Linked DNA regions of Caenorhabditis elegans. The protein of the gene in region 1 purifies or fractionates together with the protein of each later gene. This does not show direct contact. Each region holds a gene or a part of one and is shown in the gene's direction. Other genes may lie near its edges. The genes, in order: C09D4.2, C02F12.8 and Y54F10BM.3.

Region 1 (7,453 bases):
AATTAAAAGTATTTCGGAAGCATGCCATTATCAAAATTTTGATTAAAAAAACTTCATTGAACTTCTGTTACGTGGCAACATTAGGCAAAGGTTCATTAGTGACCGTGAAAATGAAAACTCGGCCACTATTGAGGGGAAGAGGATTTACCTTAGACTTTTCTTGGTCTTCTCTATCCGATTTCGGCGTTGATTTTAAAGATGGTGCCGACGAAGATTTCTGAACAAAAATTGAGTTTTTTAGATATTTTTCTGAAACAAAACACATACAGAGACAGTTGGATTCGATGGTGTTTTCTGAAACAGAACAATAAAATGAACATTTCCAATATTAAAATTCTTACCGAAACTGTTCCACTCCACTTTTGTCCCATTATTTTCAGAAGAGAATCAATGCAAACAACAACGTCAAAAATTGTTTTCTCGGTAACGGAGAATGAATTCTAGAAGACTTAAAATAATAACATCTCACGTTTTTGTTTGTGACCCGCCCCCGTGTCACACTTGTTGGAATTTTTTTGGGCAGATGAACTTTGAAGATTAGGAAAAAAAATCAATACTGAATTTATCACACTCAGTTTTCGAAGGATTAAAGTTCTACTGTGATCATCATGGCGACTGGTAAGTCATTTTCAGCTGGAGATTTACGTTTTAGAAATCTCCTGGAATCTTCTAGAACTTTTGAGATGCGGATATTGGACTATTGTAAATATGAATTGTACTTTAAAGCATTCAAAATAGTCTATAGATTTACATTGGACATTTTCTAATCAATTCTTCAAATACTTATTTTCAGCGTTGGATCAAACCGACATGGTTCAAATTCCCAACACTCCAACATTGGTTGCCGAGGAAAATGTACGATCAAGCTTCCGATCTCTCTTCATCTTTAGAATATCAAATCATTTCAGTTGAACCACAAACGCTCTAAAGCAAATCTCGTGGTGGCTCAAGAGTCTGTCGCAATGGAGCACATCGCTGCTCATCAGCTTCCAGCTCCCGAGCCACGTCATCGTGGACCGGCGATTAAGGATAAGCCGGAGAGAAAGGATCGTCTTCCGACGGTTGGAGAATATTTTGAAAATGATAAAGGAGATCGTTTCATTTTGCGTCAGAAGCTGGGCGATGGTGCAATGGGACATGTTTTTCTGAGCATTTTTGGTGGCAGGTTTGTAGCTTATTTGGTTTTTTGCTCTTTCCAAATCGCGGCAACTTTAAAAGAAGTGCGTCACGCGAACTATTCCACGCAAAATTTATGTGGTTTTCTGAAAACTACCACATCGTACCATGGGTTCATAATGCCCTTTGAGGCATTATGCGTACATCTCAAATAAATGTCCTATTACTTTTCCAGAATTGTAGATCATTTTCTAGTTTACTCACTTCATTAAATTTCAGAACAAACCAATAATAAACTTTCTGAAAATTAGCTCCTCTGAATTGAATCTCTATGAAAAATGAACTATTTCAGAAGTGTTGCAATCAAAGCCGAAAAGTATTCAACAGGGATGCTTCCAATGGAAATTAAGGTTTTGTTGAGTATCAGACGCCACAATGGAGTTCATTTCTGTGATATCATTGATTATGTAAGTTATATCATAGACTATGAATTCATGGATTTTGGATTTTGGATTACAAAATCAAAAAAACGTATCAAACTTTAGGGAACCATCCGTCGTGAATACAACTACATGATAATCAGTATTCTTGGAAAAGATCTCTACCGTCTTCGTGCCGAACAACCGACTCGTTCATTCACTCTCAATACGACTACAAAGATTGCTCTTGAAACTATTGAAGCTATTGAAGAGCTTCACAATATTGGATACCTGAGCCGTGATGTCAAGCCAAGCAACTTTGCTCCAGGACAACGCGACAATGGACAGCATAAGACAATTTTCATGTTTGACTTTGGACTTGCGAAGAAGTTTATTGATCGTGATAACAAGAAGCTGAAGTCTCGTGGAGAGGTTGGATGGAGAGGTACTGTAAGATATGGAAGTCTCCAAGCACACAAACGTATGGATCTTGGAAGACGTGATGATGTTGAATGCTGGTTCTACATGCTCATTGAGATGTTGGTTGGAGAGTTGCCATGGCGTCATATGTCTGATCGTACACTTGTTGGACAATCGAAGCTCTCAATTCGAAATGAATCTCGTCGTTTGTTCTTCAATCGAACTCCAAGACAGTTTGAGACGATCATGGATATGATCGATGGATACTCATTCGAAATCAGACCAGAGTACAGACATTTGAAGGCATTGATTAATGAGGTAACTAAAATTAGTCTAGATGGATATTTTTAGTTAGATCCAAGCACTTTACTAATCACCTTTCTAATAAATTAGATAGTACCTAACGTTCCATATTCCTTACAATTAAACAATAATATGTTCTTTACTTTTCCAGATTCGTATGGAAAATATGATTCCTGATCGTTGCAAGTGGGACTGGCAAGTGGAAGAATCTCAACATTCGGAGCTCACCGAAACAGCTTCTGTCATGTCTGATATGGCAATTATGGCTGAACAAGGAGCTACTAACTACACTGATCGTGCCTGTGAGAGTATGTTTTATTGTTTTTATTTTCTATATCAAAATATACATTTTTCAGACCAATAGGCATATACTCGTCTCACAACTGTTCTTCATCACTACTCTTCTCATCAAATCTCGAATCGAATCGAGCACTTTCCAGTTCAATTTCCTCTTTCTCTCACTCTTTTCCAATCCAAAGTAAAGAACCGATTGCCTCTTTTTGTATTCATTATCATCATCGTCGTCGTTTGGTTTCAACTATACTACTAGATTTTTGTGCTGTGTAAATAAATGTATTTTTTTAAAAGTATTTTACATCTTATTGTAAGTTCCAACTATCACGGCGTTAGTTTCTTTCCCAAGTTTGGCAAATTGAATATTAACTTGGATTAGAAGTGGTTAAACCTGAGCCAAACTTTGGCAAAACATAGTCTCCTGGAATCTTCTAGAAGTGATATGTTGACGGAAAGTTGGATCAAACTTTGATTACACTTGAGTGAAGCGTGAACCAAGTTTTCCAACTTTCAATCTGAATTAATATTCTTTAAAATTGTGGTAGAGGAATCCGGCCTTGAAGGCAAGAATATAGCATGTCACTTTTCCAACTTTTTTCTTATTTTCTCAATTATTGAAATTTTAAAATGAAATTATAGTTATAGATGTAATTTGATATGCTTAATCCAATTATTATACTGATTTTTTGGTTAACAAGTTTGAAAATGTCTGGAAATCCCAGAATGAATGGATATCTCATAGCAGATTGGCACTGTACTCTTCTGAACAAATTGAATTTGTACCGAAGTTTCTTTTCTGATATTTTTTTTCGAGTAAAACAGGGGCAAAAATTAAGTTTTTCCAAACTTTTCAAGGATTTTAAAGCACTGCTGGATATTTCGATTGCGTGGATCTTAATAATTTTACAACATGTCGTACTCCACCTTTCAGCATTGGAAACCTATTTATTCAAGGAAATTAATAAACAAATTATTGTAATTTATGTTTACCGCATCAATCTTTACCATCGATTCAAGCTCATCATTCTAGCCAGTTGTCAAAAAAAACATATCCGCAGATGTTATCTTTGATTTATTTATTGGGAGAACATCTGGTTGTGTAACAGAGTCAACTGACCTTCTCCCTTTTCATTCGTCCAAATCTTCATTTCTTTTCCAAAATGCACCTCTTTCTTTCTGTTTTTCTTCTGCTTATCCTACCGTTAATTTCCACCTCAGCAGTTGAGAATAATCAAAATATTGTGGATTTTTCTGTGAAAGATTTCAACAAAAATATTAATTCAATCGATATTCTCAACAAAAAATGGGATATTGTTTCGAAATATGTGAAATTTAATGGAAACTCATCGAAATTGAATGGAAGACTCCGATTATCGGAAAAAATTGACAAAATCATTTTTAAATTGGGAGACGATGGAGCTAATCAGAGTAAGTTTTTTGAAATTTAAAAGTGGATTAGCGCCCTATGGTATGACTCCTATGATTCTAAAATGATAAATTTTCACAGTAAAACTTTGCGAAACTGGTTTGATATTTTTAATAACATTTAAAAATGGTATTGATTCAGTTCTCAACTGTTATAATTTTGGAATATTCGAATGTTCCAAAAAATTTATCTGAAAAAGTTCTGAAATCAAAAAAAAATTCTTCTACCAAATAGGCAAAATGTTTTCTACGACTTTTATATTTTAATCAAGTTAAGAAATATTTTTTGTTAAGAAAAATAGTGCAAGAACGTTCAAAATTTCCGAAAAAAAAACCGAGTTTATCGAAAATTTGGCAATTTGCCAAACTCTTACTGACTAGCAGCAATCCTCTTGTTTTCTAAAAATTTTAATTTTCAGATGAAATAATAGTTTCCTTGGGTAATAGAAATACAACTCATATGACTGTGCACACGGATTCATACAAAATGAAAGTATCCACTTCGAAGCAAGTTGTTCGGAAAGGTCTGTTGAAAAGGTTTTGAAAATTGTATTCTGTTTTACGTTGTTAACAAAGACAATTGCTCAAGCAGCCTCAAGCCAGCAAGCCAAAACAAAACTTTAAAAAACTGAAATTCGGAATGAGAAAAAAAAAATACATAAAGGCTAATTAAAATTGTAATAAACCTTTCCAGAACTGTCTCTGAGAACTGGTTCATCAAACGAGAACGGATGTGCTTGTGTACACGGAAATTGTGCTTGCTGCCTAGAAATTTCTGTTCCAGAATTCAGACATTCAGGTAATAGTTTTCCTTAAATTTTGTTTTCTTAATTTTCCAATACTTTTAATTCAGTTTGTGTCAATGCAACCTATAACCCAGTTTCCATTGGCTTGGATTTGTCGATTGGAGTTGATGGACATTATTTCAGTGAAGAAATATCTTGTATGTAAAGAACTTTAAGATGGAATACGCGGTCAAATGGGTTCCATATGAATATGTTTAAATAATTCTCAAATTCAGATATCCCACAAAAGGAATTCAGAAAAAGCGAGTTGAAACTACTAATCCAACTTTCAAACTCGCGAATTTCTAACTCTGCTAATTTTTTGCTATTTAAATATAAATTTCACAGAACTTTTGTTTCACATAAAAAAACAATTGTTAATAATTTTCAGTGAGAAACCCCCCACCAGTCTGTTTTTCTCTTCCGATTCCCGGCGCAGAGCACATTGCAGGAGTATGTGTGGCATTCACAAAGGTAAAATTGTTTCTGGTAACACGAAAATTCCAATTTTATTTATTCAGTTGGACTTGGACAAGAAGGAGAAAATTCTTTCCGGATGCATGGATTTCGAAGTGGAATTAATTCATTTAAGAGTTCTTACTTTCAAGCTTGGATGTTTTAGAATGCCAATCTGAAATTAAACAAATATGTTATGTTGTAACAGTTTGGTGCAAACTGTTATGTCAAATCAAACAGAAAAAGTTATGTTTTTTGGTTTTGCTCTTTGCTTGATTTTCAGAGACGAAGCTTCTCGTTCGTCTGCATTCGCTTATTTCATCGCCCATCTACACTCCCAATAGTGGTTTTTCATTTCTTCTACTGGAGATGATTCTGATAGACTTTATTTTGAGATGATCAAGTTTTGGGTGACAATGTACTCAACGGGAACAATATATCCAGAGTGACACAGGATTCAGTAGATAAACTGGGGTGATATTATTTTATTTGCCACGTTTGCGACGGATATTGACAAGATGAAAAATGTGTGAAATTTTTTTAAAACTTTTATTTTAAAAAAAGACTGTAGCAAAAGGGATATTGAGGAAATTGAGACCTTGAAGAGGATGTATGATCACATGTCGGTACTTGTAAAGCATGGTGACGACTGTCCAGAATCTGATGGGAAGGTTTGTGTGAATTGGATTTTCATAGTTAAAAACAACATTTCATATCTTTTCCGATGCTTTCAAAGCAGTTCTATCGGCAACAAAGATTGACGATCTCTATCCAAACTGCATGTATGACTCCATCCTCTGGAAATTATTCGCTGGGAAGTTAGCTTGTTCGCTGTTGGGTTGTGCTGAGGATTTGCGTGTCATCATTGGTCATCAGGATTTATGAAAACTATTGTATTTTATTGTAAAATTATTTTCTTTTTCTTCGATAAATATTAATTTTCAATCATTGTTTGTTTTCATATTACTTAGACGCGGAATTCTGAAATTTTTGCCTCAAAAAAAAAGATACCCGGTCTCGACACAACAATTTCCTGTAAAATACAAACGGATCTGAGCCTCTGAAGTTGATTTTTTTCTTCTTTTTTTTTGCCACCTAGCGAAACTTAATTGAAGCATATACTAATATATGAGTCATAACTTACTACAGGGTGACAATTAATTATAGCAACACAGTTCTCTTTTGTACAGACTACGGTAGTTAGATGTGTTCTGTGCCCTGTCGTAAAGAAATGTTCTTGTTCCACTCCTCCATAACCCTTGTGATTTGCTCTTTGCAATCAATCTTATTCCACTTTCATTGATGATATCTATTTTCTCTCTTTTGATATTTTCTTGCCAATCTTTTTGTCCATGAGATTTCTTTTTTCATTCATTCAAAAAATAATTTGAACAGCTGTCTCAAAGGTCCGTTTTCTTCCCCAAATGTTGTTTCAATATCACACCTCAAAGAGGCCAATTAAAATTTGTTGCTCTCATTCTCTTTCCGAATTTTCCCCTCTCATCTCGCAGTTTTTTGTTATTTTGTGGTTTTTTTTCGGTAGATTCATTTAGCTTTCTTTTACTGCAATTGTGAAAATAAAGGAACCAAGTTACAACTTCATCTATTTTGAGTTAGGTATCTAAGTGCGCCTGAAATGGCGCCAAGAAGATAAGAATCTTTTTTTGTGTAGAAAAACAGTGTTTGCAGTGGGTAAACCTATCAAAATCAGAAAATAATCAATTTTATCGAGCTTATTACGGAAATTTCTACAGTAATTATAGCACCCAACCAAGTTATCATAAAAAGTGGTAGAAATGAGGCATTCTAACGAACTTTTCGCAGAAGAAGAACAAAATATTTACGAACAGGAAGTTACAAAAGACTTTTGATACCTGTAGCTACGCTGAAATTTTTGTTTTGGCTGCAAGGTTTTCGTCCGAAACTGCGGAATTGCATATTCAACAAAAACTAACTAAAACGGGGTTTTTTTAATATTTTTCTTTTATATGTAACGTCAATAATCTTCTTCAAATTTCGCTCCAAAAACTTTACTTAAAAGTTTTTCGTATTCGATAAAATTACTGGAAGCCGGGATTTTGAATTTCAGAAAATCTGGCACGTGGAAAAAAAATACTTGGAAAATGGTTTTCAAAAAGTCGGAAAATAATCAGAATTTGTAGAATGAAAAAGTGTTAGTGAAGGCTCGGAATATATTATGCTAGATTTCCTCATTATGTTCCATACCTTTGAAAT
Region 2 (8,702 bases), on another chromosome or scaffold:
TACGTTTTCTGCTACCAAACAGAATTTTCAAGAAACTTACTACGTTTGTTGTTATGAAATACTTGTAAATCTACTCTTTGATTATTTTGCCCCGAACGCATAAAAAGGTTGCCATAGAAAGTACATTCTGACGTTCAAGCAGAACAAAAAGTTCAATGAATTCATAATTCAAATTAATCGCTCATTATGTCAAGAGTGTGAAGTATCAATTTTTAAAATAGCAGTAGATGTTAGTTTCTGGAAAAAAACTTGGTGTAGTTTTTGCTTCTAATCCGTATGAGACCTCTCGAAAAATTTTCGAAACTTGTTTTCTCGAGATTTGTTGCAAATTGATGTAAATTTTTAGCAATTTTCAAACTAAAAGGTGGAGTAGAGTCAAATAAATAAATAAAAATTCGCTTTATATGATAGAAAATGGATTGTAATGATCGAATATATCTGTAAAAAGTGTAGAAAATTTATTTAGATTTCTCATGATTTTTTTAAAATATTTTTCTATTTTCAAAAATCAAAGAATCGGCCGAATTAAATTTGACTTCCCATGCAAATGAGTGACGCTATTTTCGATATTTTTGCGTTGTCTGGCTAAATTCTTTCGGTTTTCTAGATTTTTTCTACTAAATTACTTTCAAAACTCTGTTCGCCATTTTTTTCAAATATTTTTCCCCAAAACAAAATCTTTGAAAAACTCCACTGTCGATTTTTGGGCAAAGTTTGAAATTTCCGCAAAAGTATTTTGTGTTATCAAATTTTCAATCAAATATAGAAGATATAGAAGAAAAAATATTAAAAAAAAAAACGGCGAAGAAAGCGAGAGAACGCGAAAGTATAAAAAATGACGTCACTCATTTGCGCAGAAATTTAAATTTAATTCGGCCGAAATCATAAAAAATTTAGAAAAAGTTTATAATTTTTTTACAGTCGTAATCTGTCCTTACAGCCCATTTTCTATCATTTAAAGCAATTATAAATATTAAAATTGTGATGCAATTTTTATTAAAATTTTTTGATCTACTCGCGCTGCACTAAAAATATCCATGACCTCCCTTCTGTTTTTTTTTACAATTATTCTTGCGAAATTGGGGGTGCGAGTTCTTTTATGATTTTAGTTTACCTTTTCTGTGAAATTTCTGCTACATTTTTACATTTTTTAGCACCTGTCGTACATTGAAAGCATTTGATAAGTTCCAGGATGATTGCTAGATTATATTTCCACATAGATTTCTGTTTTCTTCTCTACATTCTGAAACTTACTGCGAACATGCTAGTTTTTGTTTACATTTTACTATCACATATGTATAATAATTGGACCTATGACCGTCATTACCATTTTCCGTAACGGCCTTGCGCCCACCGTAACGCTCTGTTTCGTGCGCAATCACACGAGAATCCGTGAACATTTGTCATATGTTCATTGAGTTAAAAGAGTCCCATTGTTAGTCTAGAGCGTCAAAAATTAACTGCGCTAGTGCCTCTGGATGCCGTGTCGTCGTGTGAGCGCATGTGTGTGCGTGTTTGTGTGTTTGTGTTTTGTTGACGTGGGGGTGCAGTTGGCTATATGTGAGCGTGTGTGTGCGTGTGTGTGAGTGTTCTATGAGTGTGCGCGCGAACGAATGTAGGGGGGTTTTGTGTGCTGCGTGCGTGGCATCCGCCGAGGGGCCCTTTGCCCTGTCCAACGAGTCCTCTTCCTCACCATATTACCCACCCAGTTATTGTTGTGGGTGACGATAAACACTAAGCACCACCACCTGCGTGCGCGTCTTTTCACTTTCATTTGTTCACCTCAGTTTTCAACTTCGTTCCTCCTAATTTTTTTTCAATCAGATAATAGGTTAGAAATTAAAATTATGCACTGACCAAAATAGAAAAGCACTGACCAAAATAGAAAAGCACTGACCAAAATAGAAAAGCACTGACCAAAGTCGAAAAGCACTGACCAAATTAGTAATTGCACTGACCAAATCAGAATGCACTAACCAAATTAGAAATTCCACTGACAGAAATTGAGTCAGGTTTCCTTTTTTTTATCCTTGGGCAAAACTAAAACTTTTTTAGCTCTACTCATTGAATTTCCAACCAAAATTTTGCATGCCAACCGTGCAATTTATACATTGTGCTATTTTTTTCAATGGTACTCTTATATTCCCATTTTTCCACAATTGTAGTTACAAGCAAAAATTAAATCTATAGCTATGATATGAATCTAGCTATCTAGATACCTAGACATTATTTTTCGAGAGCCCCAACGCGATGCATGATTCTTTCAAAGTTTGAATTTCTCATAAAATTCTATGTTTTGAACTAACCATGTTACTTGGAATGCAATCTAGCTTCAAGAATTTGTTTTGATTTTTCCCAACAATTACTAGCAAAGGAAATTCAAAAATTATATAATTTTGTGTAAAATGCTCACAATGTTTTTTTGCGGTAACAAGAGTAGGTTAAAAACAAACAAATAGCTATAACATTTCTCTTTTTTATTTTAATTCAGCAAATCTTTTGATCTAGTTTTGAAATGTGACACCGCCAGCTTCTATTCGTTATAATTTTACTCATAAAATAAATAGTAAAACTGAATGTTGTAAGCACTAAATTATATGTTTTTTTTATTCGGTTTTTCCTACAATTTAAATTTTCAATTATTAACAGGCTCTCAATATTGCACCTATCAGTTGTTTTAAACTCTGACAAATTTTCATGTTAACTTTGTTCAGAAGCTATGCAAAACGATAGATCTCGCTGGAAAACCGAAGGACACTCGAGTGAAGTACATGAGGACTTTCTCAGGAATAGTGTTCAAAGAAGAAATCAATTGGAGAAGGTACATAATGTTTAGAGCGTTTGTATATTCTTATATATAATAATTTTTTACAGATTCTCTTTTCCTACAATAATCTTCATCGTCTGGATCCAAGTTACGGGGAAATCGTTCAAAGAGCTTTTGAATCAAATGATCCTATTGCGCTGTGGAATTTTGAGAATGAGGTTCTGTTGAACTCAAAAGACGTTGATGATCTCATGCAGCAACAGTTCGCCGCTCCCGTCCAAAATAATCAGTGCCCAAATCCTTATCAAAATTGCGGATATCAGAACAATTTGGTGAGCACGTTGGATGCTTCATTTAAGGTTTGTTTTTCAATTTGAAAAGTTTGTTCATGAGATATTGAGAATTTCCAATCTCAGGCAATTTGAAAGCTTATTTCGTTGATAATTTTTTGAAATGGGAATACTAGATTGCAATAAAAATTAAGCGAACGGCGAAACTAAAAGCTGACAATTAAACTTTTAATGATTTTAGAAACTCGTTGATTTAATGGAAAAAATCGGTTTTTTTTTCAATCGAGAGGAGTAAACAAGTTTTAATTTTTAGAAATGTAGTTTTTCACTGTTTAAAAACCCCAAGGCCATAAGAATTTCTTTAAAACTTTGAAACAATTGCAATTTTCAGGTACACCCATTTGCTCAACATGGTAATTACATGCCACCTCCGGCACAGTTTGCATCAAATCCAAACGTCTTTCCGCAACCTGTTCCTCCATACACTATGGATTTGGCAGCGTCGAATTCAGGATTTGCACACCCACAGATTGTAAACCAGCCTATGCATCCACACGTGCCTGTTGGTTCCCAGAATTACAATCCTCCCCAATTTGTGCCAGCTCCACCAACCATGATGCCAGTCGGAGCTGTAATGGTTTCGCAAGGATCGTATTCAATGTCACCACCTCAAATTGATACTTCAAAGCCACCTTCTGGATATGGATTCTCGTCTCCCATCTTTCCATCACCGTCTTACAGTCAATATTCTGGTCCACCTGCCAACGAAGGATTCCCAGACATTATTTATGATAACAATGGAGTTGCATATTGTCGAGTTGTCAGCGCACCTGTATGCGTCGTTTCCATGTCACAATCGGGATCATCAGTATGCTCATCACAATCGTTTTCTTCCGGACAGGTAATAAACAATATTATCGACTACAACAAAAACAACTTAACTGCTGCTTGGGTATGCCAGAATTTGAAAATTTGAACATGACCGCTTTTAGGGAAGTTATATGAAAAATTTAAAAGTTGGGAGATTAACTGGTTTGCATCTAAAACCATTTTAGTAACCCGCTTCTTGTCTGACCATGAATATCAGACACACTCCTAAATTTATGACAACTATCATTAAATGTTCCTGAAAGTGATAATGATCAAATGTTTAAACTTGAACACACTCACGCAGCACTTGACTAATTTATAATGCTATATTACAAAATGGTTTTTTCAGAGCGACATATCTATGTCCAGCAGACCGCCCATCAATGGATCTAGTGTTGGAAATGGTTCGTTATCACCCATGACTGATAGTGTCAGGGAAGAATCGGAAGACGAAGATTATGGAACGTTGACGCCTGTTGGTCAGCAAGATTGCGACTTGGATTCAGTAGACACGGAAAGTGTTGCAAATGAGCCAGAACCTTATAGCAGTACAATGTCTGAAATGCCACCATTAGATGATGTTGATGATATAATGGAGAACCTTGATCTTTCGAAAACACTGATTGAGCCGGAAACTTTGGAACACTCGGATAACATGAGCGTAGTTGAAATCAAATCTGAACCTGTATCTGAAATGACGACTGACTCGTTGATTGTTGATGATGACAGGGATACGTCAATATCTGAAATCATTAAGTATCTGGATACGTCGGATGACGTTTTGGAATCATGGCAGGAGGCGACGGGCAGGAAGAAATGGTGATTTTTTGATATTACTGCTAAAATGATAAATTCTGTAATTTTCAGTTTTGTACCACAGAAAACACAAAAACTCGTCTACCCGCTGCCATTGTCAAAAGTCGAAAAACCATTGCAAAAATGTCAGCAGACTTTGGCCGCTTCCACCATTGACGAGGATAGCAAAGAAGCATCAACTATTGCTCTACCCGACGCCAGGAAAAAGTTGACAAAAAAAGAAAAGCGCCTTATGGCTGCACAGAAGGCAAATCAATTGGAAACTGATGACGATGTACTGGAAGCAGCATATCGAGAAAGACAGAAGCATGTGGAGCAAGCTGGTGGTGACTACTCAAGCTCAGGACAGAAAGACCAAAGTGAGATTCATCATCGCCATTTGGTACTAATATTTTCAATTTCAGAAAAGAAGCGAGGAAAAAGACCCGTCTCGAATCCACCGCCATCGTTGATCAGTCCCCAAATCCTGCATGCAGTTCAAATGGCAATTGCTAACAGAGCAAAGAAGATTTCAGAATCGGGTCGTCCAATTTTTCACGAAAATTTCTCATATCAAAAATTCTATGAAACGGTGGATACTTTTGTGAAAACTTGGGAAGAAAATTCGAATGAAATGAACAAAGTGTTACAGTTTATTGAAAAACGCATTTTGGCATTCAAAATGGTGAGTTTTAATGAATTTTGGTACTTTTAAGTGTCTCAAACTGACTATTTACAGGTTCAACGTCCGCAAAGTCTCTCGCGTATTACAATCTACGAGCAACTTCAGCTGAACTTGCCGCCAGCTATTCTTCCGGAACTATGCTTTTTGGCCGGTCTCACCAGCGATTCTACTGACAAATTAGAGTATTACGAAGAAATTTTCTTCAACCTTTTCTAGATTCCGTTATTGTTTGTACACATTGTACCCAGTGATCAGATGTTTTAACTGTGATTAACCATGACCATTCAGTTGTATTTTTCAGTCCATTTAATTACGTGTCATTGTCTTCAATTTTAATTTATTGACTTTATGGGTAAATCAATTTATGTATTGAGATTTTTAGAATAAAAATGTCTAGTCTTGTATTTCTTCATCTTTTCAGAGGCTCTAACCAGTTTCAAACTTCTACCAATTTTAAATTCAAGTTTAGAAAGGGTTGAATAACTCAAGAGACGCGTTTTTGACTTCACAAACAAATTAGGCAAACTGGACAGACGGACATTATTATTTTGTTGATTATTTATTATTACCTCAAACATTTAATTCCCAAAATCAAAATCAAAATCAAAAAATCAAAAGAGATCGTGCTTAAGTGAAACTAGATGAAGAAGTTAAATATAGCTATTTTTGTCTACGAAATATTTTTGAAATTGAAACATTTTATCCAATCTGTATGTTTTGAAATTAGGCTGACGAAATCTTTTGAAAAAAAAAAACGCTATCGAAGAGGATACAACTTTTGCTCATTTTTTCCTTATGGCTTACAACAAATTGAAAAATTAAAGCAATAAATCTAAATTGATAGCCCCCTTAATCTATTTTTCAATCAATCCGTACACATTTCGGCAGCGTTATGCTCACCGTCATCACATTCATCGGGTCTTGTCAACGTATCCTATGTGCACTGCTGTGTGCGTACTCATTATCTGATATAGCAGTCTCGATGTTTCTCCCCCTCCCGGGTGAGTGGCACAACGTCCATTCGTATATCCACCGCCGGTGTTGAGTAGTATCATGTCGACTACAAGGCGCAACAGTTGGCTCTTCTATCCGGATCTCTTAGTCTCTTCTCTTGAACAGTTGCTCGTTCGGAAGTGTCCAGTCACTTCTACATCTCTCTTTCTGAATCACTCCTTGTCTATTATATCGAGAACCTCTAGGCTTCTATACCTTTTGTTTTACTGAATTTGTATTTTCTGATAAAGGAATCCCTAATTTATTTTTATATAACTGTTCTCTTATTTATTTTTTCGTTTACTTTTTCTAGTTCTAGACATAAAACTTAATTCAACTATTTTCAGCGCCACGTCATCACTTAACCACAGATAATCAGTCTAAAGAGGGCTGTCAAAGCCCTTTTCAATGTCAGAGCGCTTACGAGAAAGAGTGAGTAAATTCAATTTGATTAGGCTTTCAAACTAAGCCAATCTGTGTGCTTTAAAAATGCTACTGCATTGTAAGCCTAAAGGTTTGCCTTTATTTATATGCACAGCTATCCAAGTTTCGCTAAGAAAAATTCGAAATATTTCTCAAATTAAAAGTTATAGTTGTTCGAAGTTTTGGAGAAAAGGCGCAGTTTCAGCTGAAATTTTAATCTTTCTTAACTTGAAAATATGGTGCATAATTCGATGAATCAACGCGTAAAAATACAAAAATGTGGTACAAAAAGTCGTAATTATATAACAATAAGATTATGTCCGCTTCGATACCGATAAGTGTGTAAAACCTGAGAAAATAGGTATTTTTTCCAACAATTTTTTAGAATTTTTCAGAACGGATTTTTACTCAACCTTTAAGTCTAACTGATGGTTTCTCAGCAACATCAACTGTTTTTCTTGAACTTTTAGTAGTAACCTGTTTCAGCTTGGTATATTATCCGAAGAGTTTGATGGAAGTCTCCGATCCGCATCTCCATCAGGAAGTCGATCACCTAGAAGAATGAGCAGATCTCCAAGGCCCCATGGAACTCAGTGAGTTTCATTTTCCTTTTCGTTTGCGAAATGTGATACTTGATACCTCCTTACCCTTAACGTTTTCTTTTTCCAGTGAACCAGCCGTAGGTGTGACTCGACCTTTCGTAAGACAATCCCATCCTGAAATCGCTGCTTGGCCTGCACCTCCACCGGCGCATCAACTAGGTTGCCTCTCTGGAAATGTTCGAACACCAGTCGGAGGACCAGCTCCCCCGTCACCAGTTTTGCGGAGGGCACCAAGTGGCCCGATTTCACCATCTCCAATATCTCCAGTTAGCCAACATTCACGAGCAAGTTCTAGGCATGACATTGATAACACTTCATTGCTATCAATTTTGAAATTGTCACATGTTGCAAGAGAATCATCGAGAAATACTTCTAGAAATAATTCACGTACGTGTAAAATATTGAAAAGTTGGAAACAATTAAATTATTCTAGCTCAGCCAGCTGGACGAGAAACCGAATTGAAAAGGAAAATTCAAACACTGGAAGAAACTGTGGCAGAGTATGAAAGGCAAAAATACAACGTCATGGGCACATTCAGTGAATACAGGTTTGTAAAGTGCATACAATTTTGAAATAATGTTAGTTATTTTCAGAGAACGAGTTGCTGAAAGGGAGCGAAAGTTAGAAGCTGAGTACTCTGGTAAAATAATCGCCCTTTCTGAAGAAGTGCTAGGTGCCAAAAAGGACTTTGAAGCAAGAATGAAAAGTTTCCAAGCTCTCCAAGATAAATTCGAAAGGGAGAAAGAGCAGGCTCTGGAAAAGCTCCGCAAGGAACATCAGAAGGAAATTCAAGTGTTAGAACAACGATTTTCAGATACACAATTGCTCAACCTAGAACAAAAGTGAAAACATTTTTCTGAATTTTTTTTTCATTAACTGAATTATTTTGCAGATATATAATTGAAATTCAAAGGTTGGAAGAAGAACGGAAGTCTTTGCGAACTGAAAAAGAAAGACTCGGTGAAACTTTTGAAATGAAGCTTCGAAGAGCTCAATCTTTGTATGAAACTGAACTAACTGCTGCAAAAATGCTCTATACTAAGGAACTGGAAGCCTTGAGAGATCACGAAGAAGCACTGAAAGAGGAGCTTCTTGCTAGGTACCCGAATTCAAAATTTCACAGTTTCTTTCACAATATTTTTTATTTCAGACAAGATGAGTTTCACGATCGGCTTCAAGAGTTGCAGTTGCAATCAAAAAGAAGTCGCGAAGATTTGGTGTCTTGCAAAAACGACGTTACTGCTCTGGAAAAGAAACTCCACAATAAAGAAAAAGA
Region 3 (8,164 bases), on another chromosome or scaffold:
TTTTATTGGATTGAAATTCAATACTTTATAAACAAATTCAAAACAAGATTTTTGAAGAAAAAAAAATTAAACAAAAAATCAATAAAATGAATTTTTAAATTATTTCAAAGAGTCCTTGATAGCTCCAAATGGTCCTTCTTCGGGGCTCCAAATGCCTCCAAAAATCTGATGAGGTGGGCGTGGAGGAGGAGGTGGAATTCCTATTACAGTAGAGCATATTATAGAAAATATAGCAAAAATCTTGAAAAGTAGGGAAAAAATCATTTTTTTTTAAATTTTTTTCTACTTGCCGAGTTGAATTTTTATATACTGGTGAGATGTCAACAATTTCAAGCCAAAAAAACCGGTTTTCAGTAGCCAGTTTGCTGAAAATGGGAGGTGGAAAAGACGAAAATAAATTGATCAAAATTCAATTTAAGTACACATTTTGGGACATAAACTACAAAAAAGTAAATCCGGAAACGTAAAAAAATTTTTTTTTGAAAAATTTGGAAAAAAAATTTTTGGAACTTTTTTAAAAATTTTATAACTTTGTCAATTCTCAAGATTTTTGGCTCAAATTTGTTTTGAATAGTGCCCAAAATGTTTTCCTATACAATGTAATATTGTAGTTAACAAAAACCCGTAAAACTACAGTACCCCAATGCTTTTCGTGAGAAGACCCAAAAATTTTTTCGAAAAAATATTTGTTTTTCAAAACTTTATAACTTTGTCAATTTTCAAGATTTTTGACTCAAATTTATTTTTATTAAAGCTCTAAATATTTTTCTATGAAATCTGACAATAAAATTTAAAACAATTTATAAAACTACAGTACCACAACACTTTTCGTGGCGGGATCCAAAAATTTAACAAAAATTTTTTTTTGATTTTTTTTCAAAACTCCATAACTTTGTCAATTTTTAAGATTTTGAGCTCAAATTTATTTTGAATAGCGCTCTAAATGATTTTCTTTAAAATCTAGTACAGTAATTCATAGCAACTCATAAAACTACAGTACCAAAAGACTTTTTAAGGCGGGACCCAAAAAATTTTGAAAAAATTTTTTTTTCAATTTTTTCAAAACTCCATAACTTTGCCAATTTTCAAGATTCTGAGCCTAGATTAGTTTTAAATAGTACCCTCAATATTTTTCCATAAAATATAACATAGGAATTTACAAGAACCCGTAAAACTACAGTACCCCATAACTTTCCGTGTAGAGACCCAAAAAATTTTTGTTTTTTTTTTTGAAAAATTGGAAAAAAATTTTCAAAATTTTTTTTTTCAAACTTAAATTAATTTTACTGATTTTGTTGAAGTTTTTCGCTATATTAAAATTGATTTTAAAAAATCTGCACCCATTGCTTAGGTGCAAAATGTATCCCTCTACCCCTTTTCAGGTACACTAAGAATTCAGCGAATTCAGATTTGCCAAACATCAAAACAATGGAATTTTTCATTGTTTCTCACGTGTAGCAACTGATAAAAACTGATAAAAGATATCAAAATTGATCCTATGACGTCATCATGTCTTATGACGAATTCCACCCCCCGCTGACTGTGAGAAAAGTATTTAAAAACTTGATTTTTCAAGTTTTTCCCTAAAAACTTTTTACACTTTCTCTATGTAAAAGTTCAAAAAAACATGCGAAAAACTACAGTAACCTTATTATTTTTGATATTTTTTATTCAAATTTCTGAAATTCTGACTCTACCTATCAATTATGGTGCATCGTTGAACTCTGTACACTCGGATGACCTGAGTGCTGAGGATTATCAAGTTTTGAGGAAAAATGAGACAAAAATTGAGTAAGTTCATTGATTTTTTGCTAATAGAAAGGTTTTTGAAATTTTGGAAAAATTAAAAAAAAAATTTTTTTGAAAAAAACTTGTTTAAAAATAATAATTCCGCCAAATTATCGATTTTTTTGGTCGAAATCTCAAGTTTTAAATGTTTTCTTTAATTTTATTGAATTCAGCGTCATTGATTACCCCTATCCCAAAATTTTGGGCCTTCTAGCTCAATTTTCAAGAATTGGCTGAGTAGCGACCCATTGCGATACGGAGTTTGGTCAGTTTTAGTGCAAATGGCTAAAAATTTAGGATTCTGGGTTTCCAAGTATGGCAAATTTAATGATAATGTTAGTTTTTCAAAACTATGACTCCGTATCGCAGTTCTGAGTCGCTACTCAGCCAAATTTCAAAATTTTGAGATTTTGAGCTAGAGCTCTGAAAACCTATAGATAAGGGTAATCAATCACGCTGAATCCAAAAATAACTTCTAAAACCAAAAATTTTAATTTTTTCCAGAAGAATCCACAGAATTCAGCAATTTTTCAAAGCGGAGCACCACGAATCCACGTGGCGAGACTCGATTTGCAGTGCATTCCACTCGTTTTCACTGTTCCCGCCAAACTGCTTTGCGGCTCCGCCAAACGACAAATAAATCGATATTATTGATTTATGAAATGACATGATTTTTTTCTACGACGCACAATAAATTTTTGTGATTTTCTGATTTTTTTTGATTTTTTTTTGGGTCTCGTCACGAAAAGTTGTGGGGTACTGTAGTTTTTACCGGAATTTCTAAAATTTTTATTTTATCTTTTACGTGGGTAGTTTTCGCACATTTTAAGCCAAAAATGAACAAAATATCTCAAAAACTAAAAAAGTTACAAAATTTTTAAAAAATTGAATAAAAACGTAAAAACTCAAAAATTGCCAAAAAACATTCCACGTCGGGAACCACGTCGTTTGATTTTCGAAAGTCGATAAATCGATATTGAAAAATTTATTTCACAATATTCAAGATGAAATTGTGGTCGATTTTATTGGTGACCATATCGATTTTTGGCATCTGCCACGTGGAACCATATGAGCTAAGTAAGTACGGGGGTTTGACGCCAAGATACGGTTCGATTCTACAAAATTATCGGATTTTTCGGGAAATTATCGATTTTCTTGAGAAATTATCGATTTTCTGGCGGAAATATCGATTTTCTTGCTAAATTATCGATTTTCTTGCGAAATTATCGATTTTTTCGCGAAATTATCGATTTTTTCGGGAAATATTGATTTTCGGGAAATTATCGATTTTCTGGCGAAATTACCGATTTTTCGCGAAATATTGATTTTTTCGCGAAATATTGATTTTCGGGAAATTATCGATTTTTTCGCGAAATTATCGATTTTTCGCGGAATTATTGATTTTCTGGCGAAATTATCGATTTTCTTGCGAAAATATCGATTTTCTTGCGAAATTATCGATTTTTGGCGAAATTATTGATTTTCTTGCCAAATTATCGATTTTTCGCGAAATTATTGATTTTCTTGCGAAATTATCGATTTTCTCACGTGTCGAAAAGTTGCCCTTATTTTTTATTTCTGTCAAGAATGCAATTTCAGGATTTAATATAGGAAGAGGCAGATTTTCTTGCGAAATTATCGATTTTTTCGCGAAATTATCGATTTTTTTCCCGAAATTATTGATTTTCCAGGAAATTATCGATTTTTAAAAAATTATCGATTTTTAAAAAATTATCGATTTTTAAAAAATTATCGATTTTTAAAAAATTATCGATTTTTTGCGTAATTACTGATTTTCGATAAATTATCGATTTTTTCGCGAAATTATCGATTTTTGATATTTTCGATGAACACGTGGAGTTTGTTATTTATTTCTTTTTGAAAATGACGTGGAGAGGACGGTAAAAAAAAGCCACGTGGCCATTGCGATTGCGAAATTATCGATTTTTGATAATTTATCGATTATTCGCGAAATTATCGATTTTTCAACAAAAATTTATTGATTTTTTCCAGGTTTCGTCGATTGGCCTACACCCGCCCCGCCGACCTCAACAACTCCACCAGTGTAAGTCTATCCGTTGTCCCGTTAGTTTATCCCGATGACCGCTCTTTTTCAGATCCTCAACCAAACCACCACCTGCTGAACAGTTTAATTCGCTGACCGACATTCTCGACCTAATTCCAATCGAAGTGTAAGTTGTGAAAATTTGACATCGATAATTGCTCGGCGGCGAAAAATTGGTTTTTTTTTTTCGAAAAATCGATAATCTATGTTGATTTTATTGATTTTTTTGGTCGGATTTTTGAAGAAAAATCAATAATTTTTATTGATTTTTTGTTCAAAAAATCGATAACTTGCGTCATTTCTTTTATCGAAAATCAGTAATTTCGCAAAAAAATCGATAATTTCGCAAGAAAATCAATAATTTCGCAAGAAAATCGATAATTTCGCGAAAAAATCGATAATTTCGCAAGAAAATCGATAATTTCGCAAGAAAATCGATAATTTCGCAAGAAAATCGATAATTTTGCAAGAAAATCGATAATTTTGCAAGAAAATCGATAATTTCGCGAAAAAAATCGATAATTTCGCGAAATTATCGATTTTCTTGCGAAAAAATCAATAATTTCACGAAAAAGTCGATAATTTCGCGAAAAAAATCGATAATTTCGAAAGAAAATCGATAATTTCGCAAATTTTCTGTAATTTTTCAGCTGGCTTGTTGTACTTTTCCTGGAATCTGCGTTTGTTGGAGCATTTGGAGCATATTGCTACTGGAAAGTTCAACAATGGCGCGACGAGAAAATGGCAAGGGAAAAGGCTTGGGAAAGGCGTCTGGCACGAGTTTCTGAAGTTTCGGCTTCGAAAAATCGAAACGCTGGAGGTGTGGATCCTGCAAAAAGACCGAGAGAATCAGCCAAATGGCTGAAACATGTAAAGGAGGTGACGCTGAAACGGGGTGGAGTCGAGCTGCTGCCGATGGAGGATGTGATCGTGAAAAATAAAGAGGTAGAGATTTTTCCGAAAAAATTTGAAAATTTACGTGTCAAAAATCAAGGAAAAATCTTGAAAATGAACAAAGTTATGGGTTTTCGAAAAAAAAATTTTTTTTTGAAAATTTTTTTTGTAAAAAAATTTGTTTTTTCAGAAATTCAAAAAGCCACAAAATGAGCTTCGAGAAAATGAAGTGTGGGTGGAAAGACAAACGGGCCCTGATATTGATAAAGATTCGGACCCAAAGACGGAAAATGCATTGGATGAGCAGGATTATCAGCTGGAAGATGGATGGCACGGCAAGTCAGGTATGGTTTTAAAATCAGGTTTTAAGAAATTTTACTTTAAACATTGCAAGTTATTAAATTAAACATTAAACTCACAAAAAGATTGCGCTCATTTTAAGACTATATTCAATCGAATATCTTTAAAATTCGCAGAGTTATGTAGTTTTGAAAATAAAATTTGAAAATTTGAAATTTTTTTTTAAATTTTTATTTTCTTGAAAGCTCGAGCTAACTTTCAATTCAAAACCGATTTGGCGTGAATTTTCAGATTTAGCACGCCTAGAGCTTTCAAATAACACCCATCATGACTAGGTTTCGCCTGTTTTGGGTCCCCAAGTTTTCAAAGTGGACGGAGCTTAGTCAATATGGGTGTTAAATGGAAAGTCTTGACACGCTGAATTAAAAAATGAGCAAAAAATTGTAAAAATTTTTTATGTTTTCCAAAAATCTCAAAAAAAAATTTTTTTTTTTTTAATTTTTTTCTAAATTTTTAGACTTTTTTTGCACCAACTGAGAAATAATTAACAAATTCAAAATAATCACATTGAGACCTTTAAAATAAAACCCATCATGACTAGGTTCCGCACATTTTGGGTCCCGCCACGAAAATGCCGCCGGGAGTACTCTGGTTTTCGTGGTGGGACCCAAGAATTTGCAATTTTTAATCTGAAACGTTCAAATCGGTTTCGTAGAAAATTTTAAAAGTTTTTGAAACAAAAATTTTGAAAAAAAATTTTTTTTTCGAAATTAATTTTTTTTGGAAATTTTGAAATTTTGTTTTTTTTTCTACTTTCAAGCCAAACAGTCCAATTTTCATTCAAATTCAAAATTCCAATTACAGTAACCTACAGTAACCTACACAAATTTCAGCTCTCAACATCACACGTAAAGAATTCAAAAAGCTGTTCACCAAAATGAGCTATAGCCCGTCGATGTGCTCTATCATACCGGGAAAAGAACGCGATCCGTCGAAAACTGTAATCGCAAATTGGTTCGAATGGTGTCAGCCAGAATTTGAAATTCCGATTGAGCTGACAGCGATGAGCGCAGGAAACCCCAAGCTTTGCAGGTGATTTTTCGGCAAAATTTTTTTTCGGCTGAGGAATTTAGAGTTTTTAATTCGAAAATTAGATTCAGCTGCTCATTAGCTTTCAAATGACACCCATCATGCGACCGCTTTGGGTCCCGCCACGAAACCCAACCTGGGGTACTGTAGTTTTCGTGGTGAGACCCAAAATGGGCGGAAGTTAGGCATGATGGGGGTCATTTTGAAGGTCTCAACGTGCTAAATTCAAGTTTTTAGATAAAATTTAAAGAAAACAGATACTTTCTGAAAATTTTGAAGTTCTAAAAAAAATTTAAAAAACTTTTTTTTTAATATTTTAATTTTTTGAGACCAATTTTATTAAACTTCCAAAATAAGAAAAATTCTACATTTTTTTTTTTTTGAAATTTATACATTTTTTGTGCGTCAAAGCCAGTTTTTGGGGGGGGGTCATTTGAAAGGGTATGACGTGATAAACTTAAATTATTGCACAAATTAGTAGAAACCAAAAAACTCTTCAAAAAGTTGAAAAAAAAATTCTGCAAATTTTTTTATTATTTTTCAAATTTTTCAACGTTTTTTTTTCCAGAGACCCAAAAGTTCAAGCATGGGATTCAACATCGTACTTAGTTGATGACACCCATTTCATCCATGCCTCAACCGTAACAGCCCCTGGAAAAGAGTATATTGGAAAAGCGATCATTTGTCAGGCGCCGTTTGACGATAAGGAGAAAGGACATCCGGATACACGGGAATCTTTTTGGCGAATGGTTTGGGACACGAGAGCTACTTATGTGGTGATGTGCTGTCAGATTATGGAGAATGGAGTTCAGAAGTGTGGAAGATATTTTCCAGGTTAGACTTGAAAAACCCTATTTTCTTAGATCTTTCTTAACTCAAAAACTAGAAGAGCTATAAAAAAGTTGTTAACTGTAAAATTGTAGCCCGTATAATTTTACACATTTTGTTAGTTGAAAACTTTTTGATAGCTTTCAAACTGACGAAGTTATAAGAGTTTGAAACTGAGAACTCGACTTTTTTTCGAAAAATGATTGGCTCAGCCGGTAACAGGTGTGGTTGGTAGAAAATAGGCCGAAGGTTTGATCCCCGTAGAGGTCAATTTTGTTTTAACGATATTACACGTTTACTAGGTTTTGGAGTCATTGGCTTATCGGGAACAAGTATTTTTGCTGAAATTTCTAGTTTTTTAAAACAATTTTTTGATAAAAAATTGATTTTCACAACTTAAAACAATTTTTTACACGATTTGGTATACATTTTCGGAATCTCCATGAAATTTCACACTGGAAACTTTTTTTTTTGAAATTTGGAAATTTCACCTTTGGCTCAGTCGGTAGCATGGATGACTGGCGTGAAATAGGTCCGAGGTTCGATCCCCGCAAATGACAAAATTTTTGTTTTTACGATATTGCAAGTATTCTATGCTTTGGGGTCATTGGCTCGTCTGGGAAATGTTTTTTTGCTGAAATTTCTAGTTTTTTCACAATTTTTCGATAAAAAGTTGATTTTCACAACTTAAAACAATTTTTTACTTGATTTGATGTACATTTTCGTGTTTTCCATAAAATTTCACATCGGAATCCTTTTTTTTTTTGGAAAGTTTTAAAATTACTCTTTTGGCTCAGTCGGTAGCATGGATGACTGGTGTGAAATAGGTCCGGGGTTCGATCCCAGAAGATAGCAAAATTTTTTGTTTTTCACGATATTACATGTTTTCTAAGTTTTAGAGTCATTGGCTTGTCGGGAAATAGTCGTTTTTGCTGAAAATTCTAGTTTTTCACAAGTTTTCGATAAAAAAGTGGATTTTCACAACTTCAAACTAATTTTCACACGATTTTATGTAAATTTTCCGGTTTTCCATAAAATTTCACATCAGAATCTTTTTTTTTTGGAAAATTTAAAAATTTCACTTTTGGCTCAGTCGGTAACAGGTATGACTGGTGTGAAATAGGTCCGGGGTTCGATCCCCGCAGAGGTCAATATTTTTTGTTTTTACGATATTACACGTTTTCCATTTTTTGGAGCCAT

The links.
Region 2: the proteins of C09D4.2 (region 1) and C02F12.8 fractionate together in Caenorhabditis elegans (co-fractionation; one large-scale study listed by BioGRID). This does not show direct contact.
Region 3: the proteins of C09D4.2 (region 1) and Y54F10BM.3 fractionate together in Caenorhabditis elegans (co-fractionation; one large-scale study listed by BioGRID). This does not show direct contact.

Annotation. Positions count from the first base shown.
Region 1 is NC_003279.8:5,487,788-5,495,240, forward strand, and holds C09D4.2 (DUF4773 domain-containing protein), read left to right. Parts: upstream 1-3,636; 5' UTR 3,637-3,712; coding exon 3,713-3,980; intron 3,981-4,396; coding exon 4,397-4,501; intron 4,502-4,671; coding exon 4,672-4,776; intron 4,777-4,830; coding exon 4,831-4,920; intron 4,921-5,153; coding exon 5,154-5,236; intron 5,237-5,283; coding exon 5,284-5,397; 3' UTR 5,398-5,476; downstream 5,477-7,453. Other genes in the region: C09D4.9 (Protein AF-9), read right to left, coding at 149-217, 268-294, 342-371; C09D4.3 (Protein kinase domain-containing protein), read left to right, coding at 609-618, 794-855, 909-1,165, 1,469-1,583, 1,662-2,273, 2,410-2,566, 2,615-2,622.
Region 2 is NC_003284.9:3,687,251-3,695,952, reverse strand, and holds C02F12.8 (uncharacterized protein), read left to right. Parts: upstream 1-2,714; 5' UTR 2,715-2,719; coding exon 2,720-2,821; intron 2,822-2,874; coding exon 2,875-3,126; intron 3,127-3,448; coding exon 3,449-3,958; intron 3,959-4,276; coding exon 4,277-4,746; intron 4,747-4,794; coding exon 4,795-5,102; intron 5,103-5,147; coding exon 5,148-5,407; intron 5,408-5,461; coding exon 5,462-5,623; 3' UTR 5,624-5,810; downstream 5,811-8,702. Other genes in the region: Putative protein tag-278, read left to right, coding at 6,809-6,832, 7,310-7,416, 7,493-7,812, 7,859-7,973, 8,020-8,268, 8,319-8,525, 8,577-8,702.
Region 3 is NC_003281.10:2,279,294-2,287,457, forward strand, and holds the start of Y54F10BM.3 (Tyrosine-protein phosphatase domain-containing protein), read left to right. Parts: upstream 1-2,731; 5' UTR 2,732-2,792; coding exon 2,793-2,865; intron 2,866-3,801; coding exon 3,802-3,853; intron 3,854-3,905; coding exon 3,906-3,980; intron 3,981-4,503; coding exon 4,504-4,798; intron 4,799-4,937; coding exon 4,938-5,091; intron 5,092-5,940; coding exon 5,941-6,139; intron 6,140-6,704; coding exon 6,705-6,970; intron 6,971-8,164. Other genes in the region: Y54F10BM.23 (uncharacterized protein), read right to left, coding at 100-264; Y54F10BM.22 (Neuropeptide-Like Protein), read left to right, coding at 1,628-1,791, 2,293-2,428.